2 linked regions of the Coturnix japonica genome follow. The protein of the gene in region 1 interacts with the protein of each later gene in a biochemical or structural test. Links are inferred from orthologs where the notes say so. Each region holds a gene or a part of one and is shown on either strand. Other genes may lie near its edges.

Region 1 (4,006 bases):
ATTCCTTACTCTACTGGAGCAACATGACATTGCAACACAGGAAATAATTGGTTTAACAAACATTTGAAAATGAAGATTTCTGGGTTTGCTTACTGGGTACTTTGCAAAGATTCACTCCTTAAATATGTGCAGTAACAAAATAGTTCACAGTGTTTCTCCAGTTCCAATTATACATCTGATTTAAGGATTCACATCTATCACATTTTCTACTCAACATCTGTGATGTGCTAACACCATAAGCCATACTTCTAAAGCGAGTCATCTCCTGAGCTTACAGATCATTCACCCCACTTGTTTAAAGCCTGTCCTTCCAAGTAATCTGAGGACGGCGAGCCAGGAGTAATCCTTTATCTCCTGTAAAAAATGCTTTGCAATATCTATACTGACACCTTTTAAATGAGCGTGGAGAAGTACTGAAAATATAAATAGAGCTCTCTGCTGAGACAAGGAAAGCCAGAGCTCTCCTGCTGGGCTGGATGACAGTCTGCACAGAGCTGAGAAGCAGGCTGGAGAGCACAGGCCGCTAGTCAACCTGAGAGCCAGGCCATCTGCCAGCAGTCCATCAAGATGAGGAATGCCAACTGCATTTTGAGCCCTTAGCTGGGTTCTGCTACGGTGCACACACACTGCTAGACCCCAACAGCTATCGCTGTGCTTCCCTCAGATGACCACACAAAGGCCACACGCGGATCAAAGGGAAAAGGTCTTCTCCTTCCCTCCTACTACTACTCCTAGCAGTAACCCAAAGCATTTAGTTATCAAATTTGCAACTTGTTACTAGAATTATTTCAACCTTCTACAGCCCTTTTCTGTCATCTATCTTTCTCTCTTCTATTTCCTTTCCTCATCTTTCAAATTCTCACTGAGTTCATTTACTCCCCTCCAACTACGACAAGCAGCAATAGGATATTTAACTCCAACATTAAGATCAGTAGCAAGCATCAAAACAGCCCTCATTCAAGACTCATGAAGCTCGTTCCTAGATCTTCAACTCTGCAGCTGTGATACTTTCAAATATTACCTTACACATTCAAGACTGCAATACTAGTCAGGTTCAAGTCTTAGACCATACATAGCGCTGATGACCTCACGTATGCACAGCACAGGAGCTACAGAAACGGTCACCCATTTCAAGACTCAAAGGCCCTGAACTGTCTGCAGACATCCTACAGTGCATACCTGGACATAGACAGCCCAGAATATGCACCACCCTGCAACAGACAACACTGAAATATTCCAAGCAAGACTCTGCTGGAGAAAATCTAGACCATTTAGGTCTCTGCTTGGGGTATTCAGATGTCTATCCCCAGGGACAAGAGCAACATTCTCATACCATCCTCTATCTTGGAAACGAGCTTCATGCATTGCTCTAGGTTTTCCCTAAGAAGCTAAGAAAGAAGAAACAAGGGTGCTAAGAATGAAATGTATGGACTAGCTTGGCCAGAAAACTATCAAAACCTACAGCAAAATCTAACACGGACATATCAGCTTCACAACTCATCTCTCACCACATCTCTACAATAAACACCAGTTCTGCTATATCACGAGATTTCCTCAGACCTGAAATATATTCACCACTGTATGCTGCGCACCAAGGCAACAGGGCGACCAAACTCACTTCTGTAAGATTGACACGTTATTTTGCCTGTATTTCTGAGCATCAGTCACAGTTCAGCTGTTTTCATACACAAAAAAAATCTTGTTGAATTTTTATCCCATCTCCTCTAACATCTGCTATATAGATAGGTAGATATAGATATACTGACTTATATATATATATCTTTATTTTTTGCATCAGCTAGTTAACACATTGTGTTCTTGTGTTTTACAATGGTTGCCAACTTTGCAAGCTCAACCAAGAAGAGCTTTGCAGCATTATTGCAAGTTGTGACATTCATTCAGGTGGAAATGAAACAAGTGCTACCACTAACCAACTAATGAATCTTACTGGAATCGTTTAGTAACTTCAACAAGAGCAGTCGGTGAGCACCGATTTGAGATTGCAAACCACATACTGCAAACCGAGTAGGATCGAGGATGCCAACCCAGGAAGCATTCACATCGGCTACAGGACCAAATCATCAGCAAGACGAACTGCATTGCAACGCAGCTCCCTGCGCCTGTGCCGAGTGACTCCATGCGTTTGAGCCAGCCTGCAGTTCCCTCCGAGGTGTAGCTGGAAGTGGCCGAAGCCAAAAGCGAAGCCTGGCAGACACAGCTCGAGGCACATCAGAGCCGGCAGCTCGGAGCGCACGTAGCAGCCTTACACTGCGCCCGGAGCCGCCCGAGCCCCGAAGGGCCGCGGGACGCCGCCCGGGCGGGCACCGCGACGGGCACGGCCTCGCTGTCGCCAGCCGCCCACAGCACACCGGGACGCCCCGGCGGCTCCCCCGCCACCCGATCACGCCGCCGGGCCGAGCAGGGAGCGGCGGGGACGGGCGGGCCCGGCGCGGCGCCCCGCTCTCATTCAACCCCGCGTTGGCCGGGCCCGGCGGCGGCTCCGCAGGATGCGGGAGGCCTGGGAGCGGCCCTGCCCCGCGCGGCCACAGCTCCCGCGCACCGGAAGCGGCGCCAGGCCCGACCCTGCCCGCCGCGAGAGCGAGCCGCGGGTCGGTGCCTCGCGGCCCCGCGGGGCGGCACGCGTGGTTACCTTGATGATCCTGCGGGGCAGCCCGGCCATCTTGTCTCGTCGGGGTGCAAGATCGCGGGCTCGCCTCCGCTCGGGGCTCGCACACAGCCGGAAGTCTCCCGCTCCGCTCTTCCGGTGGCGCCGCCCTCGGCGCGGCACGTCGGGCAATGTAGGCCGCGCCCGCTGCCATTAAGGGGCGAGTCCTGCCCCGAGTCCCGCTGTGAGGCCGGAGCTCCGCGCTGACAGAGCTCGGATTTCATCAGCGTGGTACAACGTGTGTCAGCGAACAGTCACAGAGATGTCTCAGGACATGTCACCTTTGTGATACTAAAGGCTCGTTAGTCACGTCTCTTCCTCCTTGACAGGAAGGGAAATGTTGTAAAGATGAGGTGTTTTACATGGATGTTGTGGTGTTTTACATGGATGGTGTTACCTCCGCAGCATCCTGTGGCTCCCTACTACAGCTACGTAGCAACAGTAGCATCCAGCACCGTTGCTGAGCAGATGGGAAATGAAAGCACAGAAAGATGAAGCAGTTTCCCAGGAACAAGACCCTGCACGAACAATTCTCTGTCAATTGCTTTAGTCCTGGTTCACAAACAGGACATTTAGATCAGCTACGCCGTTTTCACACACTGGTAGAATGGACAGTTCTAACACTGGCAAATCTGGGCTGTGTAATTGCCAACATGCTCCTGTCAGAAATACTGCAAGCTTGATTTGTGTCCTAAGATAGAAACATTCTTATCAACCCATGGTGGTTACAATAACATGAAGCATGTCAGAAGTGCCGTGTCTCCCTCCTTATAATCAAGGAAACCGAATAGCCTGAGTCAGAAGGGACCCACAAGAATCAACTCCAGCTCCTGGCTCAACAAAGGACTACCCAAAATTCAAACCCTGTGTCTGCAAATATAGTCCAAATGTTCTTGTGCCAGTGCCCACCACACAGTGAAAGAACGTCCTAACTCCCAGCCAGACCCTCCCCTGATACAGTTCCATGCTGTTCCCTTGGGGCCTGTCACTGCCCCCCATAGAGCAGAGCTCAGCACTTCACCTCCACTCCCCATGGGGAGCTGTAGCTGCCATGAGGCCTGTCCTCAGCTTCCCCTAAGCCAAAATCTTCATCCTCCCCACATTGCTTCCCAAAAACTTACCAAATTTTCCTTCTCTATCTTTTGAGAAGGCTACTAAAAGGTACATAGTTGTTCTACACAACTTGATCTCCTCAGCTGTTGAATACACCAGTAATTACAAACTTTTCATATCAACTCATGAAAAACACCAGCCCTGTGCATTCTTGTACACACGTTTGGCCCTTTAAACGCTAAATTGTTCTCCTAACATTATGGGTGTAACTTTCTGTGAAATCGATGA
Region 2 (3,500 bases), on another chromosome or scaffold:
GGTATGGAAGTATATATTTGCAAATCCATGCCACAAAAAACCTGTGTACTCTCAAATCTGTTAATCCATTTATTCTGTATGAATGCAAACAAGCTCTTTAGTGGTTTGAGTTTTACTTCAAATTTCTACAGAACACACATTAAATATACTGTAAGAGAACTTGGCAATTTTACTGAATGGAAAAACAGTGGGATTACAATGAAGAATGCGTTCCCATATTTTAAACGAAGGCAAGACTCTGGGGAAAACTCAGAATCAGAGAAATATTTTCAAGTGCTTTTCAGAGTTGATTCAGGCACTTTTGCTTCTTATTCATGCAGAACATAACTCCTAAATCCTCTTGTCAACTTTGAAAACAGAACTTGAACACTAATAATTATTCTCCAAAGTCAGAATAGAGTACTGTTGTGGTTTTTTCCCAGACAGGCTGTAGCTTCTGATTGGAATTGTGATATGTAAGAGCAGAACAGTATTAGCAGGAGATTTCTCTGCTCTCTAGCTCTTTTTGAGGTTTCTTTCATTAATATTTTCCACCCCTTCCCCAAAATTTTAACTGAAGATATGGTGAGTTTTCTACACATCCCTCCCGAGAACTAATAACACTGATTCATGTTCACAATTTTCTCTGAAAACAGAGTACAGCGTAAGCCACAAGTATACAGTTCTATTAAGCAACACAAGTAATGCAGCCTAGGGAAACAGAAAAAGAGACAAGAGCACATCAACAAGAAAAGTATTAAACCTGCCCTGAAAAGCACAAAGAGAATCCCTATGAAATTCTGTTTACAGACACTGACATAAAATATAGTAACTCTGTGTAAGTGGCAGAGAGAACGAATTTGTGGTAGTACTTCTCTGGTAGTGATTATCACTTCCCTAAATATGAAGAATACAGTTATATTAAAAGGATTTTCTCCATATATGTTATTATTAGATTAACAGAAGTACACAGCATTATTCTCAACAAGTAGTTCCAAGAAATGAGTCTCCATCATGGAAGACTGTGAAGATGCAGATAGCTTTATACAAATACTCAATTGCCATATCATAATTAATTTGATATTATTGTTGTATTCAAAGCATAAGAACATGCTACTGTGCCAAACTGAATCATGATTCTGAGAAAATAATTATTTTTCAAGAAAAATCTTTTCTTATTTTCCATCTACAAGTAATCTACTTCAGAAATTCAGTACACGATAGAAGTATCCTCAATGAAAACTGCATAGAAACAGTAATAAACTTTTAAATAATGTTAAAAGTATGACAGAAGTCAAATAAAAGAAAGTGATGTATATACTGTCTGGCTCTGAATACACAGATGTAGCTTAAGATCAGTGAGACTCGAAGTACACTGCTATGTCCACATATCATGAGTTAGTAGCACTAGAACAAACTACACATCAGCAGGATTCAGTTTAGAACAATTAAACTGCAACCCTACTGTTTTTTTCCCCCCTGTGTTTAGCTACCATGAAAAAAAAAAAAAAAAAAAAAATCCTTCAACAGTCTTCATCCTGCTTGTCTATTTTCAGGGGTAATAATAAGAAACAGTAGTTAGAAAACTGCCTCTTCCTTCTCAGTTCCTGCAACCTACCAAGGCCTTGAAATCTGAACATATTGTGTGGACACTAAAGGAAGGTGATTGAACTTTAAAGTAACTGCCTGGCTGCTTCAGGGACGAAACAACTGTGCGCTTTTTAGTCTCACTTGTCAAGATGTAGAGGTTATCCTAACAATTCCTATACGGAGTGCATAGTAACAAGGAAATCATGTAGGAAAAGCACCTCTGCAACAGTTTAAGAAGTTACACAGAGATAAATTACCTATTCAGCATCAATTTGGGTTGGTAGTTAAATACTGCTAATAATTCTGGAGGTCTAACTTGATAATCCTATGCACAAAACTGTAACGTTAATGTTTTGCAAAAGAGACCTACTTCAGTTTTCATTCCAAGGCTAGATCACTGTATTTTACTATCTATTTACACCAAAACTTTAAAGTAACTGAAAGCAAACAAATATAAACATTAGAGTGCTAGCAGTTCTTATAGAGAACAGCACAGAGTGCAATTTTTTATTGATTTTCCTAAGTTTTGGGGCTGAGGATAACTCACCTTTCACAGACAAGAGGCCTGGACTCATTCAAGACTGGACCCAGGGATGAGCAAGGCAGCCGTGGTGGTGGTGCTATTGGAACAGCAGAATCCAGGGAACTTGTTTTCCGCTGCAACATCTCCTGTGTCGGCCCAGAGATCTCGCAGTCAGTCGGACAGGTTCCAGCTCTGCTATGACCTCCTGCTGATGGAAGCTCTGGCCCAACTGCACCTTGCAGAACTAACTCTGTGGCTCCTTGCTCGACTTCCAGAGTTGGAGACGATGGAGGTGACAACCGTGGCTTGCGTTTAGTGGATGCTCCAGAAAGCAGTTTCAGCAAACCCTTTTTTTCTTTCTGTAAGCAAAGGGCAGTGCCTCATTTCAGAACAAAGGTTTTCTACAAAGAGCTAAGCACTTCCCTCTTACAGATGCCACCTTGTCCAGAGGAGACTTAGTAATGAAGAAATGCTTGATATTGTAGAAATCATTACAAGAGACAATTATGAAATTCATAAAAGAGAATTACTAAAACTCTGAAGAGAAGGACAGAAACTCATTCAGATCATAAACCAGCTAAGCGCTTTTGCTTAGTTAAGGTAAGTTAATGCTAACCTTAAAAGCCAATGTCAGTGGACCAAAAAATTGTCTACAAAAAGGAGGAAGTCATTAGAGACCCACAAAGGGGAATCCAGGAAGTAAAATAGCTAACTCTCTATTCCTTCCTGGAAACTTCCATGTTAGCTCAGACCAAGCAGAGAGAAAAGTCTGCCCTGGAGGCTGCTGCTTCAGTAAGTGTCTTTTATTCATTTTCCTTCAGTAAGGGAAGGCCTTCATGATTTAGCAAAAATTTGACACACGGGGAACGTACTGTGTTTTGCTGCTCTGCTAGAAGAATTCTAAACATTCTTTTCACTTGTCCAGACAGGAATCCCTGAAGTCTAGGACTCACCCTGAAGAGAATTATTTAAGCTGCTTTTGTGTTTCTTGTGTGTTGTTGTTTTTTTCTTTAAGGGGTGTGGCAGCTATCGTCTCACCAACTCTTTGACTAAATGAATTTAGTGCTTATGAGAAGTGCCAGATTTTAAGCCTCGAAGACAAAAATAAGCTATAAACTAACCACAGAAAGAGTAAAGCTAAGAAATGTGAGACTTTTATTACAGCTTAGGATGCAGTGAAATTGGTGAACTGTGAATGAAAAATCCTCTGTCTTTTTTCCAAGTCTCCAATAACTTCAAGCTATTTCAGCAAAGATCTGCTGTGTACGAAATGGAAAAGAAAAAGAGAAACTCAAAGGAATTGGCAAAGTCCAAATACATTAGCATCTCTCACCTTGAACTCTAAATCTATTCTTTAAAAGCCCTTCCTACAGGCACCTTGGTCTATTTTCAGAGGTTACAGCTGAAA

Evidence for each region. The genes of interacting proteins can lie anywhere in the genome.
Region 2: the proteins of UBE2N (region 1) and SH3RF1 form a complex in vitro, tested with the Homo sapiens proteins (2 studies listed by BioGRID). The link is inferred for Coturnix japonica from reciprocal best matches to the Homo sapiens genes UBE2N and SH3RF1.

What each region holds. Positions count from the first base shown.
Region 1 is NC_029516.1:40,865,294-40,869,299, forward strand, and holds the start of UBE2N (ubiquitin-conjugating enzyme E2 N), read right to left. Parts: upstream 2,801-4,006; 5' UTR 2,681-2,800; coding exon 2,651-2,680; intron 1-2,650. UniProt on the Homo sapiens protein: The UBE2V1-UBE2N and UBE2V2-UBE2N heterodimers catalyze the synthesis of non-canonical 'Lys-63'-linked polyubiquitin chains. This type of polyubiquitination does not lead to protein degradation by the proteasome.
Region 2 is NC_029519.1:22,337,541-22,341,040, reverse strand, and holds part of SH3RF1 (E3 ubiquitin-protein ligase SH3RF1), read right to left. Parts: intron 2,452-3,500; coding exon 2,117-2,451; intron 1-2,116. UniProt on the Homo sapiens protein: Has E3 ubiquitin-protein ligase activity. In the absence of an external substrate, it can catalyze self-ubiquitination. Stimulates ubiquitination of potassium channel KCNJ1, enhancing it's dynamin-dependent and clathrin-independent endocytosis.